2 linked regions of the Saccharomyces cerevisiae S288C genome follow. The protein of the gene in region 2 interacts with the protein of the main gene of each other region in a biochemical or structural test. Each region holds a gene or a part of one and is shown on either strand. Other genes may lie near its edges.

Evidence for each region.
Region 1: the proteins of TRZ1 (region 2) and NUC1 form a complex in vitro, tested with the Saccharomyces cerevisiae proteins (one study listed by BioGRID).

Annotation. Positions count from the first base shown.
Region 1 is NC_001142.9:35,237-48,238, forward strand, and holds NUC1 (ribonuclease), read right to left. Parts: upstream 5,948-13,002; coding exon 4,958-5,947; downstream 1-4,957. Other genes in the region: oligopeptide transporter OPT1, read right to left, coding at 1-1,013; PEX2 (ubiquitin-protein ligase peroxin 2), read left to right, coding at 1,683-2,498; CBP1 (Cbp1p), read left to right, coding at 2,769-4,733; AP-1 complex accessory protein LAA1, read right to left, coding at 6,153-12,197; YJL206C (uncharacterized protein), read right to left, coding at 12,423-13,002. UniProt on the Saccharomyces cerevisiae protein: This enzyme has both RNase and DNase activity.
Region 2 is NC_001143.9:586,289-591,161, forward strand, and holds TRZ1 (tRNase Z), read right to left. Parts: upstream 3,018-4,873; coding exon 501-3,017; downstream 1-500. Other genes in the region: VPS501 (sorting nexin family protein), read left to right, coding at 1-421; MTD1 (methylenetetrahydrofolate dehydrogenase (NAD(+))), read left to right, coding at 4,107-4,873. UniProt on the Saccharomyces cerevisiae protein: Zinc phosphodiesterase, which displays some tRNA 3'-processing endonuclease activity. Probably involved in tRNA maturation, by removing a 3'-trailer from precursor tRNA.

The sequences.
Region 1 (13,002 bases), on a different chromosome or scaffold from region 2:
TGGGTGTAGTCAAATGTAATTGGCAACGCACCGAGACCACTTTGAGTACCAAAGATTGTGTTAGCGATGAAATTGTGTCTTGTCTTCGACCCCCATAGGATAACGTTGAAATAGGACAGACCGGTAAAGAGGAATCCAGGTACCCAATACCAGATGAACGATCCGATAAGGACGATTAAGAAGAACCTGTAACGGGGCATCGTCCAACCATTTGCGACTGTCTTTTCAACTTTTCTCGAGTGCAACGAATCAAACAAGGACACTGAAATTAAAGTCTGAGGCCAGATAGAGCTTGCAGGGTTGACGACCCATCTTCTGGTAAGACCTGCAGCACCATAACCAATCATTTGAGATGTCCAAACCAACAAGAACTGATATCCGACATTAAGTTTCATGTTGTAAAAGCTTCCCTGGGCGTTCAAAATGTACATAGCGTATGCAGTAGAGGAAGTAAGCGCCACGGCAATTGTGACCACGGCGTGTTCCTTTTTGGTAAATGGGCCCGGGTTTAAATCGAAAAATGGCACTTTAGAACACTTCCAGTCGGGCAAGAGAGCCAGTATCCTACCAATTGGGTAGCAAACAACTTGTGCAACAAGGAAGTTGATCTCTAGCGATGGATATCTCAGGGAAAAAAATTGATTAACACCGGCGAAAACTACCACAAACACCGTGGTCAAGAACCACGTTCTCCAGTGGTTGAGGCGGATGGTGGGGTCATCCTCGATGGACACCGCCGATCTCACTTCAGGATATGGAGAATTGGGCAAGTATGTAGGGTCGCCCTTCCAAACGAGACCTTCCTCCTGTATGGAATGCCTGTCGAATTTTTGGCTTTCCGGATCGCGGTCCTCCTCATCAGTAGTCGCAGTGAGATTATTGACGTCCTCGTCAATATTCTTAACGAAAGCATCTTTCTTTTCCTCTTCCATATTGATCTGGATAGGAATGGTTGTTGGCGTTGGCGAGGGCTCCGACTCCAACGAGTCGCTCTCCCTATAAATGGTACTCATGTGTTCTGTGACGTTATATAATTGTTGCGGTTATTTTCTGCCACACAGTCGAAAACTTTTTACCAAGAATACACAGCTTCCGATGATTGTCCATATATAGTCGAAACAATTCATTGAATAGCCCAAAATTTGAAAAAAAAAGAAAAATGATGGGCACCCCATGATGATAAGAGCTCTCTTTCTTCAACAACGATTGCTAAGGCGTTTACAGACCCATCGACTGCCCTTGCAGTGGGTTTGATGTGATTAACAGGCAGCAGCAACAAGCAACTGCTGAAAACCTTGGTGCCTTGCAGACGGCTATTGTCCTGGATTTTGTGTGACAAAACGTAGATGTGGCGTCTTGTAGTCGGAGGTGTGGCGGGCCGGAAAAATAGTGGAAAAAAAGAAAATTAATGCGATAGCGACGGGCAGGTAGGGAGGTTTGAGGGGTCCGTAGTATGCGTCTATCGTTGCAACAAGGGTGACTAATGCCATGTCTTGGCCTTTGATGCAACGTCTCGGAAGTTAGTATCGATCCGAGGAGTGGAACGGATGCGATTTCCCCTCCATTCTATCGATAAGGTTGCTGGGAAACGCATTATAAGGGATGAGTGAAGACGGAGGGAAAGCATAACGAGGAGAGATTGCCGAGATAACTGAGAAGACGTAATCTAAAGGCAACGCAGCATGTCTCGAGTTGCACAGCTCGACTCGATAGCGCTTGATAAAGAATTGTATGGACAGTTTTGGTCCGAGTTCAATGCAGCATTCAATACGAGTGAACACAAAGAGGAATGGGAGTTGGCACTGAACACAGTTGTGTTTATGTGCGCGACGAGGTTCCTGCCACACTATGGCTCTAGCTGTACGTATGGATCCGCACTCAGTGGCGTGGTTTTTCAGTGCAGGAAACGCACCTTGTATGTCGTCACTGTCTTGGCAGGGTACGTGTGGAAGAAGATCACACATATTATTTTTAATGGGCCGCACTGTGGGAACCAGATGATGTGGCTGAAGCTGTACAAATGGGTTAATTTATTGTATCACGGCTGTGATGTAACCAACTTCCTGAGGTTTCTAGCAGCGGAAGGGCCCAATGCGAGGGCGTTTTTGTCGCCGTTATACCGGGCTTTTAATGTCCATTCCACAAGGTTGATTCGGGATGGTTCTGCAATTGCCTCTGAATTTTATTCGAACTCTGTATTCGCTGGGTTAGAATACCAGAATAGACAATTGCTATGGAATGCACTATTAGAACTCTTTTCCAATACACTACTTACGAAAAGAGGACTCTTGACCTTTGTTAAAAAACCACCAAGGTCTCGTTCTACGACTACTTATAAGACAGTTTGCCCCCGTTGCGGCGGTTTTCCAACCAACCCATACCAGATCGCTTGTTGTCGTGCGAACTACTGTTACGTGTGCGTTGTAAAGGCGTTGGAGTGGTCTATGTGCGATGCCTGTGGATCCTCTGGGAGACTGACCGCCTCACCAGTGTACTAAAGGGCCCCGTTCCCTCGCTTGTATCTCTATATATGTGTATACTATATTCATATTCATGTTGTCAAAATCGGTCACGTGGTAAAGGGTCTGGTTTTTTTTTTTTCACTTTCTGCTCAAGAAAAAAAAGAAACAATAAAGAAGTGGTATAATATCATCATGGAACGCTGTACGGGACGATGTGGGAAGCGACGTCTGAAATCCAGTAATAATAAACAGTGAGCACTTTAGGATAGCAGTAGTTTGCATTTTGCACGTTTCCCTTTCCATGCAATGTTTTTACCTCGTCTCGTTCGGTACAGGACCGAGAGGTTTATAAAAATGGTACCTACCAGGACCTTGCGACGAATCAACCACAGCAGCAGGGATCCAATTCAAAAACAGGTCTTGGCCCTTATCAAAGCAAATGCGAATTTAAATGACAATGACAAGTTGAAAATACGGAAATATTGGTCTGACATGGCGGACTACAAAAGTCTTCGGAAACAAGAAAATAGCTTACTGGAAAGCTCTATATTACACGAGGTCAAGATCGAAGATTTCATCAGTTTCATCAATCGCACAAAAACCTCATCTATGACTACAAGAGGAATTTATAGAAGAGAATGTTTGTACCAATGCAAGAAAAACTTGGATCTAGTCAATCAAGTGGTCTCCCAAGTTTCATCCGTAAGACATCAAAAGCCCTTGACTACGCAATTGGATACTATGCGCTGGTGTGTTGATGATGCCATCGGCACAGGAGACATAGTTATGGCTGCCGACCTTTTCCTGCTGTACTACAGATTATTTACAGATGATAAAAAGCTAGACGAACAATATGCTAAGAAAATAATATCAGTATTAGCGTACCCAAACCCACTGCATGATCATGTTCATCTAGTCAAATATTTACAACTGAACTCTCTGTTCGAAAGTATAACCGGAGGCGGAATAAAGTTAACGAGGTTTCAATTAGAAACTCTTTCTAATAAGGCCCTCGGCTTAAGTAATGAAGCCCCGCAATTATGCAAGGCTATACTGAACAAACTGATGAATATAAACTATTCTTTGACTAACGATTTGAAGCTTCGGGATGATCAAGTGCTGCTTGCGTACAAGTCCATTGATGAAAATTATAGAAGAGGAAATGTTGCAAGTGTGTATTCTATTTGGAACAAAATCAAAGAGCACTATGTTTCCATTTCTGCACATGATTCCAGAATCATTTATAAAGTCTTCAAGATTTGTACCCATAATAGAGCCTATAGATCTATATGTAGCGAAATGTTTTGGCAATTAACTCCAGAGTACTATTGTAATAACCCTTTGATATTACCGGCAATTATTGACTTCATTACAAAGCAAGACTCTTTAACAATGGCCAAGGAACTCATGCAGAACATTAACAGATACACTTTACCCGAAAACCATCATATTGTCTGGCTTAACAAGAGATGTCTTTCTTCATTGCTAAGAATGCATTTGAAATTTAACGATTCTAACGGTGTAGATAGGGTTTTGAAGCAAATAACAACAAATTTCAGGGCGCTTTCGCAAGAAAATTATCAAGCAATAATTATTCACCTTTTCAAAACACAAAACCTCGATCATATCGCTAAGGCAGTCAAATTACTCGATACTATACCCCCCGGACAAGCAATGTTAGCCTATGGGTCAATAATTAACGAAGTAGTTGATTGGAAATTGGCTTCAAAGGTCAAGTTCACCGATAATTTGATGGCACTTGTAAACGATTTGTTGACGAAGGCACATGATTTTGATCCTGACCACAGAAACTCTCTTTGGAATGTGGTTTCCGCTTTATACATTAAAAAACTTTGTCATTATAAAAAGCGAGATGGTAAATTTGTTGCCAATGCCAAGAAGGATATCGATTTGGCAAAACTACTTTATATAAATGCTGCAAAGAGAAGTAAAACATACTGGACAAAATCGAACTGTAACCCATTCATTGCATCCTCCCCATGTGATGTCAAATTAAAAGTGAATAATCAAAACAGGTTTACTATTTTAAGGAATATTGCATTAAGCGCACTGCAGATAGGAAGAACAGACATTTTTCTTTGGGCGTGCGCAGAACTATACCAGAACGGTATGACGATTGAGGAATTGAAGTTAGACTGGAATTTCATCTTAAAACATCAAATTAGAAATTCAGAGTTCAAAACAAACAAGGAGATCATACAAGATATTAAAAAGCATGGTGTGTCGGCTGTCAAACGTTACTTAAGATGAACGGCCAAACGCACATTTACGATATAAATAACAAAGCAAATAATAACAAAACAAATTTCTGTAAATATATACTAAATCCAAGCATTGCATCCTAATTCTTTTCTTTTTTTGATCATCAAATAAATGTATTATTTTATGTTATATGCGTTAGACTTGTTATATTCTTTCATGCTATTCTATCGTTGTGTTATGAATTAATTTATATTTACAGTTTTTCAGTACATTCAATTCCTTTTTTTTGGAGGAGGTAACAATTTCACATCTTTCGATTGTTTGATCGCCGCGTTAGAGAAATCTCTCACTACAATTTGACAATTTACCTCTTTGCATAATGCCTTCTTCTTTGAAGGTGGTACTTTTTGCAGAAGTTCTAGCCCAGTACTTCTCTCTAAAGCATCTATAGGAACTTCAAAGTCAGTCAATTTCGTCTCATTTGATATCGGTTCGTTTGGCAATACAAATGCCGCGACAGCAATATCCTCTCTAGCAGGATTGGCTGTTGGTGCTTCTGCAACAATCAATTTAAAAAAGTGCGTTGGAACAGCAATACTGGGTGGATTGCCAATAACTTCATAATTAACCCTAAATTTATTATCTATGGGATCCTTTTTGGGTAGATACAATGGACCAGTCACGATTCTTACACTCTTATATTTCTTAGTCAATCCCCTACAAAAGTACTCCAAATGCGCCCAATAGTCTCTATTAAAACCTTCTCCTACTTGAGGACACATATTGGATAAGTAGAATGTATCATCCATGGCCTGTTGAGAAAATTTTGCGTCTGCAGCTGGGGCTTGATGGCCTCGATCATAGCCCGACCTAAAATAGTCTCTTAGTTTACCTCTAAACTTTTCTGGAATTACTTCATCTTCCTTGAAAAAGGAATTTTTTCTGTCAGCATTCCTTGCAGCCAATGATTCTGGCGTTATATGTTCGAGGACCCAATAAGGATTTTGAGTTTGTCTGTTGTAACATGAGATAAACTCTTCGCGGTTCTGCAGATCATGAATCGGACCAGGAAAACCATACTTGAAGAACCCGGAAGGATCGACGTTGAAAGAGTGAGATTGAATATTACTATTAGGTTTCTGGGTAGGTGGATAAGGTGTCTCAATGATTTGCGTTGGAGAATGTTTGTTCAAAAGAAGATAGGTTAAGCCAGTACCAGCACCCAGTCCGACTAAACCGGACAAGAGTATCCTACTGCACATGATAACTTTAACTTTGGGATCTAATAAGTGGGGAACTTAACTAAATGTTCTTATCTTTATACAATTGTAACTCTATAAAAACTAACAAATTACTTGATGAGTGACCAATAACCAATTGCACCATTGATATTTTTTCACAGATTTTATTTTTTTTTTCTTTTTTCGCGATGAGTTTTATTTCCGTGCATATGCATCCGACTTGCAATTAGTCGAAAGATTTCAGTTGAAAGGCCTCTTCGACAGAGCCCAAAGACTGCGATTTAACGTATGCCTCCATCACGGAACCTATAATTGCTTTTTGTTGAGGACTTATAGTGCTAGAAATGGCTTCTTTAAATGAATTTTTGTCCAATTTAGCCAAAGCAACTATGCCACTTGCTACTTCGTTGTCTATTTTCTCTGTATATGCGCTATGATATGCGGCAAAGAAAGAAAGACATAAAGCAATTGACAATGATGCCTTTTGGTGATCTTGTTTGATTACTTCCTCGGAAAACTGAATTATCAACTTAGTTTTAATGCTTGCCTGCGATAAGGAATCGTTTGTTTGAATATCTTGAAAGAATCTTTTTATAACCAACTTCATAAAATACTGCAACAACGGGTATTTGAAAATATTAGATATTATTCTCTTGAAGCCTTGTAGAGCAATTGGCTGCGTAGCAGGATTATTCAATGCCTCCGAGAGAATATTTGCGCACTGATTCAGTTCCTGAAAACTTAGCTTAGAGTATCCATTAGACAGCAAGATCAAAATGGTTGCAACTTTATTCTTTGAATCCAGCTTATGATAAATAACATCTTTTATTGACCCGTAGAATATTTCTAGTAACACAATATTTTTTTCGTCCTCAGATTCCGTAAGCGCTTTTACTAGTGCCTTGAAAAGTGGGAGTATGATTGGAATTATTACTTCACGATGACTACATTCATAAATTTTCCCTATGATGAATAAAAGACATGAATAAAGATCTACTTTGAACATATTGTCGAAGTTACTGATATTTGATTCGAACGCAATAAATGTTTTTTTCAACAGACTAATATCTGTGGGAGAGATTTTTATTTCATTATCATCTTCTTCGCTGGTAAGCACGTTATACTTAATAAATGGCAACCTCTCAGAAATAATTGTCATCAGTAGTCGCAGTAGCTCATATAGTTTGTCAATATCTTGTAGAAATGTTTCAGGAGTAGCATTACACTTCGAATACCCAATGATCAAGTCACTGATGATATCAACAAGCAAAAATTCTTCTTTACTGTCGCCTGTAGAAATCAGTCTGTCCATAATCTCAACAACTTCAGTAATAATATCATCCTCAAATATACTTTTTATGCACAGATTGCTCTTCAAAACATTGTGTAAAGCCGGTAAAACTTGCATCTTGACTGAATGATCATCAATATTTTTGACGATAGCCTCCAAACATTGGCTAAATAAAATAAAAAGAAAATACTCTAATTCCTCATCGTTAAGAGATGCCAAAATGACTTGAACGTCTGAATCCAGAGTGCACCCAAGGGCCTCTACGAAATTTAACCAGACCGGTTCATATAACTCAATTTTCGTACTTCTTGGTTCAATGAGACTATTTTCTTTCGAGTCATTCTTTACTTGCACAGTAGAATCATTATCGTTATACTTTATCATCATGTATTCACGTAAAGAAATGATCCATAATGGGACTAAAATGCTCCAATATTTCCTGGTAAAAGAGAAAAGCGCATCATTTGACGACGTGATGGATCTTTGCACTACCTCAGCCCACGCATCCAAAACGGCAAGTTCAATTTTTCTTTTCGCTTTGGGTGTAACGATTATAGCTTCCCCTATCCGTATACCGGAATTAGGATCTTTAAAGTTACCAAGAAGGTCAATTAGTAATTGTGAAATTCTTCCCAATTTATCTGGTGGCATTATATTCGATGCCAACACTTCAGCAGCAACAGTAATAGCAAAGGACATTACAGTAGGTGAGCTTCCTTTACTAAAAGCAGGCATTAATGCGCTAGTTATTTGGGCCTCTTGCTGTTCTAAAATCGACGATCCAGGAACCTGAGGATCTCTCATGGTGGAGTAGTTCTTGAGAACAAAATTCAAAATGTGTAGTCCCGTTAACTTCATGCCTTCATTCCTCACTGTAGATCCACGAAATGATATTTTAATGAGATCTGCAATTTTGTTGCTGAGGGCAAGGAGCAGATTTTCATATTTTTCGGATTCTAAGCACAACATTAATATTAAATTTAAGATAATCTGTCTGCTCTTCCATTGCAGGTTCTCAGAGTCGAGACCACCAGCATCTGTGTCAGTCAGTTGGTTAACATTCGCTATTGATTCTTCTTCTTCGCCTTTAATTTCCTTTTCTGAAGATTTTTTTAGGCCATTTACCTCTAGTAGGGCTGAAACGTCTCTGTTATAGCTTTGGAAGAGTCTTCCTAAACTCATATTAAATATTGAGTATAATTTATCGAACCAATGATTATCTCTTTTGAAAGTATGTAATATCCATTCGGTAAAATAATTCTTGACAGAACCGGAATTTGGAAAAAGTGCGAGATATCTCCAGCTCAAATTTTCCATTTCTTTCATGAAAAATTCCTCCATCTGTAATTTGTACAACAACGTCAATAAATCAAAGTTTTCAAAGGCGCCTTTCAGACTTGAAGTTCGAGAAATGAGTTCATTTGAGCCCGTGAATGTAGTGTCAAAATATGATGAGCCTATTCCAGTCACTATTGAACTTTTAATTATGCTCTTAGAAGCAAGAATAAAGATTTCATAGTTTAGAATGTTTTTCATTTTAAAAGTAGCTATGTTTTCAAACATTTTAATGCTGGTTATGCTGTTGAGAATATTATTTGAAATTAACATGGAGAGTGTAATGTTTCTGAACGAATCAAGAACCTTGGTGTTAAGTTCTAGAAAATTTGGCCCCACAGTTTCAGTCAATGTCCTTGAAATTTCACCGATTGCTACGTGAGAATTAAAGTCCCTATTATAGTTACAGCGAAGAGTAGAGCGTCCGTAAATACCATACTTATCCTGGACCAAAAGCTCTTCCATAGAACTTAGCAACAGAGCTGCCGTCTTTAAATCAATCACTAAATGTTTCTCAAGAAGAATATGCATTGCTTTCAATGACCATGAATGAACAACAGGGTGTGGATCCCTCATTAATGCAAAAATTACATCAAAGTATTCTTCAAAATTAGCATATTGTGAGTTATATTTAAAAATTGTAGCCAATGATAAGACATGAAACATCCTTAAGTATGGTTCGTCCATATCTGCGACGTTTTTAATGAATATTCTTGATTGCTCTGTAAGGAATTTTTGTCTTTCTTCATCGCCAAGTGTTCTTGCGATAGCCGCTGTCAGCAATCCTACACAATCTGCCTTGATTTTTGTGAGAAAAATGTCATTAAAAAACTGAATCTTCTTTATTGATTCGATAATTAGCTGCCCCACTGAATAGTCCAACTCTAGATTGTTTTCTTGCATGATGCGTAAAGCATTATGCAGAGCACTACAAACATTAGCAGCCACAGCCACGCTTCTCAATGGTGTAGTCATTTTGGAGAACATGGACAAATTTAAAGTTTCCATAATGGAATACTGTATTTTGCTATTCAAAAAAGGGAATACAGATGAAAAAAGTTCCATAGAAGAGTCGATTAAAGATGTAGTGACCTGAGGTGCGTAGCGGTCAATTTGGGAATAAGACCCAGATCCATATAGTAGAATCAGTGAATCTAAAGATAAAATGGGTGAAATTGGTTTTGATACTTCTACTTCGAAAATATTGTACCAATTGTAATCCTTGGATGGCCAACTTCCACTTATTGATTCATCATACTTGTAAGCACTGGACATCGATAAATTCACGATACGGTCCCCAGTTATTTTGCTGGATAGGCCGAATGCAAAGCCGTTGTTTTGACGAAGTAAAGTATTAATTGAAGATTCTAATACTATATTACTTTCCATGTCGTCCTTGTTACTCACTTTCCTGTTACCAATATCTTTCAAGCTTCCCAAAACGGAACTACTTGACTCGGTGTAAAGATTGGGATCTGAAAAATTCTTCACGATTAATATTAGTAAAGAACTATTAAAATCGCTATTTATGTATTTCTCCAGCTTAAGGTATACCTGTAAAATTCTGTTTTCATTATGCAGTAAAGCATTGTCAATGTTTTTCGATTTCAGGTCAATGGAATGATTAAAATTGGAGCACTTAGTTAGCAAATATGATACTTGTTTAGCCATTTCTTTATCAATTGTCGTATTGCTTAAATACGTCAATAAACAAGTCAATGCATGATTTCGGATTTCTAGGTTCTTGTATAATTCATCCTCGTCGTGGTATGTGTAGGTATGTGTTAATAAAACTTTCCAGAAAAGAAATAGTTGGGGTATCTGCAGCTTCAAATACTGTTCATCTTTATAATTCATCAATCCTATCAATAATATCCAGCATAAAAGACCCTTGAAGTACAAATTAGAAGAGGTAGATGTAGTATTATTCTTAATGAATGATGTAGAAAACACTGTAATTCTCATGATCAACTCATAGGAAATATAATCGCTCTCGGCACCTTTGATTAGATTTGCTATTATAAAAGCATGGCCATGATTTTTATGAAAAATAAATTTTCCTGTAGATTTAAAATCAGTGGATAGTGCACGTAAGGAGTTTTCAATGGTCTCCGAAAGATATTCTGGACAGTTGTTCAAAAAAACCTTCAAAATTTCCACAGTGTGAACTCGTATCGTAAAGATTTCACATGTAGCTAAATCAACCAGTTTATCTCTAATCTCTTTAACGGTATTTTCCTCAGTGGTGAAAGTAGAACCTAAGTCGCTGATTAACACATACGTGAAGTCAAGCTGCAGTAATGTAAGCCACTGTGTTTCAGGCTTCGCATCAATACTATATTTGAAATTTGAAGCTGAATCACTTTTAGAGGAGCTCTGGTAAGTATCAGAACAACCTAGGATGTAGTACAACATTTGAGTCTTTGCAGAATCATTCAAATGTGGCAATATTACTTCATGCATATGTTGAAAGTATCTCAAATACCTTGATAATGTATTCATGCTCCTATTATTCACTTCGTAACTGCTGAAGACGCCGCTTAAAGAGAGAACTATATCCAAATATTTTGAGTTACTCAAAAAAGTGTTGTCAGCTAATAAATTCAAGTTTATCAAATGAATAATAGATTCGAAGCAACCACTTTCCACGTCTCGTGTATCACAGTTTAAGAATATCTTAACGTAGATGGACCATACTTCTTGTAGAGTTAAAATATTTTTAGAAAAGTAATAATCAAATAATATCTCCGCTAAAGATTTTGCGGTAAAGATACGAGTTTCGTCGTTTGCAAAACCATAAACACCTATTTCACCTTCGGTAAATCTAGAATATATGGTCTCTATAATATCATGGGAGTGCTCTCTGATAAAATTAGTTTGTTTGAAATGAGCTGTCCAGCATTCAATTAGGACAGACACAAAAGTAACTGAAAAGTCCTTCTCATCAGTGGAAATACTGTCAAAAACGGTTTTGGATAGTTTCGAAAATTTCGCATATGTGGCTGGATCAAGGATTTTATCATCATTATTGGAATTTCTTAGAATCGCATTAAAAAGCTGAAGAAGGGTTGTCATGAAGGTAGCATGATAATATTTACTTTTCTCCATAATTTTTTTCAGGTTTTTGAAAATAGCATTAAATAACAATGGGATTAAGGAAGAGATGCTACTTCCAAAATTTTCAAATAATTGAACAAGTATGGTACATGCGATATCTTTTGCCGGTGAGTATATGTACTTTTTTTTTTTTGTACTTGACTTCTTCTTTTTTTTCTTTTGGTTAGGGTCGGTATCTCCATCATCAATGGATACATCTTCTTCACACAATACGTTTGTTAAGAATGCTGCGGAATCAAAAACTACACCAGGATATTCGTCCTTCAAACGCCATATGGAAATCGTATAGAGCTGAGACAAACTGATAAACACTGAATGCAGTTCTAAATCATCCGTATTTTCTAGTACGGAGATATACCTCACAAACTCATCCAGTTGAGTGTGTATTTCCTTAACCTCCTGTATTTCATTATCATTAACTTCTTTCAAACATATAAGCTTTTCCAAATTGGTGGTTATCCAAGTTAATAAATCGTGACCATTGTTTGATGATGTTTCTATCACTTTCTTGAGGGATCGGTTTGCCATTTTCGTGGCCTGGGCTATTTATTTTATCTTTTAGTTTTTTTTAAACCTAATAACTATTATTTCAATTGAATAATAACAAATCACTGTTTCAATATGGCGATGAAAAAAAAAACGGCCACACACGGTATGCCACTATGTGGTGTGAGGAAGCAGATAAAATAATAATACATAAAAAGAAGGATGTAGAAGAATATACAGATATAAAGAAGTCGCGAGTTTAAAGGTTCAATTTACTGTTGGGTCAGAGCTGAATTCTGAGGAAAATATTTGATTGTTGGCAGAAGAATCTTGGCCAATTAGTGCTGAAAAATCGATGACATCAGGTAATACTCTGTTAATTGAGTAGTCAAATTCCTCAAATTCTGCTAGAAGTTTATCTAAGTATTCTTCTTGTGCAGCTGTCGTTGTATGGCTCTCATTATTGGTATTCTGAAACTTTAGATCAGCTTCCCCTTGTGGAAGATTCAGAATGGAACGAAGACTCGTGGCTGGAGTTTGGTGATGCTGCTGTCCATGATGTAATTCTCCTTGGCACTTCGTAAAATTATTATTTGTCTGCAACTGGGGCACTAAAGCTCCACTACTTTCTTGCCGTTGCAATTTAACTATATTCAAAAGTTGTTCAGATAATACAGAGGTCTTCTCGTTAAACTCTTTGAACAATTGGTTCAATACTTCAAAAGTACGTTTACTCGCATTTGAAGCACCCTTCAAAAGTGATAATATTTCACTGCCAAGCTGCGTAGCGTTATGAATATCCGAATCAACCTTCCCATTTCGTATCAGGCCCTTTTCTGTTTGGTAG
Region 2 (4,873 bases):
CATTCTGAAGCTAATCATATTATTTGATGAAAATGTAAGATTTTGCGAATCATTTGAATCCATCTTAAATCAAAGATTGAAGCTTGGTAAAATTCTAAGCATCATAGAAGTGGATCTAGACAAGAAGAAAAACTTTCTTGACAAACTATCTCCGGGAAACAACAACAGTAACAATGAAGACCTTAAGATACGCACGGCAGAGGATGAATACCGCATTGTATTAAAAAGATATAACCGTGTTAAGCAGAGCTGGGAGAAAATTATGGAAGATATCTTAAATGAACGGAAAGAATTTGAGAAGAGAGAAGCCGCCGAGGTTAATAGTTGTTTAAAATCAATAAGAGATTTGAACATGGATGAAAAGAAACACTATTTACAATTATGGCAAGACTTTGTACCAGATGAGCACATAAGCCAATGAATATGTACATAATAACGTAATTAAAGAAGATAATTTACTACTGAAAAAGCAACAATATAAGAAGTTAAGATGAATTATACTAATTTTTCTTGTGTTTCTTAAGTTTGACTTCCAAATCTTGTACGCTTTCAACGTCATCAACATCTTCTTCTTCTTCCTTTTCTTCAACAAATGCCTTATTCAGCAGTGGAAAAATACGCTGCTGTTCACCAATTTTCTCATAATCAACGATCATACTGTCGAAAGCAAAACAAAATTCTCTCGCCATCACATCAATATTATTGTCTAATTGGGGCAATTTGGGATATCTCTGGGAAAAGTGTGTTAAGATCAACTTCCTAGCATTCATTTTGTTCGAAACACCGATTGCTTCATTAATAGTGCAGTGTTTTTTCTTCACGGCATCCTCCAGTAGCTGATTTTCTAGTGTAGCTTCGTGAATTAATAGATCTGAATTATAGCCTATTTCGAGGGAAAATTTCTCGATGTTAGGTCTTGTATCGCCTGAATATGAAACCTTGAATGTATTATGCTCATTGTTTTCGTCCATTCGGAAGGTAATTGAGTTCGAATATGCCCAGTCACAATGTATAGCTCTGCAAGTTTGAAAATATTCTATCGATAAATCCTCATACATTTGTCTGATCAAGTCAACATCCCTATATGAAGAATCTCTATCCAGTTCCAGTTTTCTGTTTGATTCTTGATTGCTATTTTCTTTCAATATTTCATTGAACTCTGCCAAAGGAACAGATTGTGTCTGCATTCTTACAAACGAATCATTGATGAAATGCTCACAACTTATGTATTTGATTCTCTTTAAAATCTCTTTATTTTCTAGAACTAACCATTCATTAACAAATTTGTGATATTGCCATGGAGTAACCACATATATATAACTCGTTTCATCATCCTTGTTATATTTGTACCATTCATTTAGCACGCTGATTATTCCCAAATGGTGGTCTGCATGCAAGTGACTCAGATATATCATTTTCAAATCCTGAAATATTGACTTGACTGCTAGCTGAGAAAACATCCTGTGTATGGTACCTAAAGTATTTTCACCAGCATCTAGCATAATGTTTCTATTTATGGTATTTCCATCGGCGTCAGTAAAAGGAACTTTAACAAGTGTGGAGACAACGTTTCTATATTTAGAAGGCAATGCACTACCGGTTCCTAAGGTGATAATTTCAACGTGTTTCTTCTTTTCTGCTGAATTGTTAAAGTTATCCACGTGTAGTTGATTATTGATAACTGTATCGACATCAGCTAAGGGAAATTCTAATGGTTTTACATGTTCTTCGAAAATTTCTTGCCACGAGAAATCCGCCACTTCACCGTTGATGTTGCATTTCATCGGTTCTTCGTTCATCCGAAATGGTTCGAAAGTTACTGTCTTGTTTTGTGAAAAAATATGAATGTTATCCTTCTCTATTATTGTATTCAAAGGCTCTTCCTGGGATTTACACATAGATGTACCTCTGCTGAGTGGTGTATCGAATCTGTCGTAGAAGTCCTTGGAAAACACACGATCTGTTTTTGGTAAATTGTAATTATTTACTTGTAGTGCCTTTAATTTCAATGTGGTCAATGCAGAACCGAAAAATGATATCGTGTTTGGAGAAATTTTATTGTGGGATATCATATGATTTACTTTACCATAATTGTTTTTCTCAAATATGTCAATGAACGCGAATAGATTATCATTAATGGTAACCTCATCACCAAGAAAATAATACACCATGCCAAGCTCAGCACAATCATAATCCTTGAATTTTTCTACGAAAGCGTTCAAATATAGGTCATCTGGGATATCCAGGATCAATACTTTGGCAAAATGACGTTCATTCTCCAATACCTGTTCCGGAGTTACAACAATACCGTTATCCAAAGTAATTGTTTGGCCCTTGGTTAACTTTGCAAATAAGGGACCCTTCGGAACACCTAGTTTAATAGCTTCCTCCACTTTAAATTTACCCCTCACTGGACTGAATGAAATCTCGTAATTCGTAGAAACTTCCACTTTGGCGTCTAAGTCAGGCAACTCTACATTCAAGTGCGGATCACTAGAAGGATCGTACCTATCGGTGGGTGCATGTTTGGGGAACATTTTTGCTACTATGGAACGTAATACACCTTTTTGAAAACTATCGAAGACGCCTAACCTGTCTTCCCCCCCATTTTTCAGAACATTAAAGGATTTAACAGCTATTATCTTATCTTTATATACTTCCTTGTCTTTCATAATGTGATCGTTCAAGTCTATTCCGAATCTAAAGACGAAGTATCTCCAAGTGGAAACTATGTAATTCAAAATGTCATTGCCGTAATGCAAAACAAGATTACTTTTCCCTTGATCAGCAATAGTCAAAATCATTCCAGGTAATCCACCTATATCTGACCAGTTTAATTCACCAGTAAGGAAAATATCCTTCAATTTGGATATCCTGATCTTATTTTCAGTCAGACTCCTTTGGGATCCTTCACCAATTTTACCGAAGAAATACTTTTCCCCATGTGCAGACTGGACTAGCAGCAATGGGTGCTTTGTATCCGATGTAGGATGGGTGATGGGTATAAATGTGAACATCGTTGAAAACCTTCCAGGACTCTTTTCTTTGCGGGTGGTCGTTCTATTAGTCTGTTGCTTTTTAGGTCCCTTTCTGTATGATTTATACCTCCTGACCAAATGGGAAAATGCAGATGAGAAGGATTTCAAGTGTGAATGACTATTTAGTAGTATATTCGACAGTTTGAATTATGCTTGAGGAAGATTATTTCACTGCCGCTCTATATCCTTTCGGGTATTTTAGAGAGAGAAAAGGAGGCAAAAAACAACCACCTAGACAGAATCATTAAAAGGTGGTATGAACTGCCGAAAAAGGGCCCAAGACAAGGTTTAGGATGCTAATTATGTCTTCCCTTTACGTCAGTTATAGATTATGCGATGCCCAAAAATTTTTTTCACTGCGGGTAAGTGTTCTGAAATACCGAGCAGTTACTATGTAGAAACGCTACGTCCTCGTTTGAGATATCAGTGGGCGATATTAATGCAACCAGGAATACCGCAACCCCATTACAATGGCCTAGCAAACATTCTGTAACAGCAATTTTGATTTGTTGAGTGGGTTGCTCTTTTTTTTATAGCATGACAATGATATCCGTAGGAACAGTGACATCGTATTTCAAATATGCATTCGAAAAAAAATAACCCAACTGAGGCTGTAGTATATTGTTTATGCAGGCTGTCACCTCCATAAATTGATATTTTATGGCATTATTCGCTACTCCAAGGTACCCTAAGAGGCCCTACTTTTTTGCGAAAAACCCCAAGACAATTTATTCTTTTCCTAGTCCAAGTCCTGACAAAAAATGAAAGCCCTGCGACTCTTTTTGGCGGAGTCAGCCCGAATCAACACAAGCCCTAATATTCCCAATGAACTGGTAAATAGATTTCTACAACGTTGTAAAGACTAATATTACTGTCTTTACTATTATGATATATTGACTCAGTAGAAAAGGAAAAAAAGCAACTACGCAAAGTATTTAAGTGCCTTGCAACCAGCTTCTTCTTGGGCTGAGATACAATACCTCCTTGTCTATTCAAGTGTACAGTATCGCAAAGCACAGTAAAATTAATTCCTATCAACACAACCCATCAATATAAATCTATAGAGAAATGTCGAAGCCTGGTCGTACTATTTTAGCAAGCAAGGTCGCCGAAACTTTCAATACCGAAATAATTAACAACGTAGAGGAATACAAGAAGACACATAATGGTCAAGGTCCCCTTCTTGTGGGATTCCTAGCTAATAATGATCCTGCTGCAAAGATGTATGCTACATGGACTCAAAAGACTAGCGAGTCAATGGGGTTCCGCTATGACTTAAGGGTCATTGAAGATAAGGATTTTTTGGAAGAAGCGATAATACAAGCTAACGGCGATGACTCTGTGAACGGTATCATGGTATACTTTCCTGTTTTCGGTAATGCTCAAGATCAGTATTTGCAACAGGTTGTGTGCAAGGAAAAAGATGTAGAAGGGTTAAATCATGTTTACTACCAAAACCTGTACCATAATGTCAGATACCTGGACAAAGAAAACCGTTTGAAATCCATTCTACCTTGCACACCACTAGCTATCGTTAAGATATTGGAATTCTTGAAAATTTACAACAATTTGTTACCAGAAGGAAACAGACTGTATGGGAAGAAATGCATAGTAATTAACAGGTCAGAAATCGTCGGTAGACCACTGGCGGCGCTATTAGCCAATGACGGTGCCACAGTATACTCTGTGGACGTTAACAACATTCAAAAATTCACCCGTGGTGAAAGTTTGAAATTAAACAAGCATCATGTGGAAGACCTTGGGGAGTACTCTGAAGATCTGTTGAAAAAGTGTTCTCTTGATTCAGATGTGGTCATCACTGGTGTCCCTAGTGA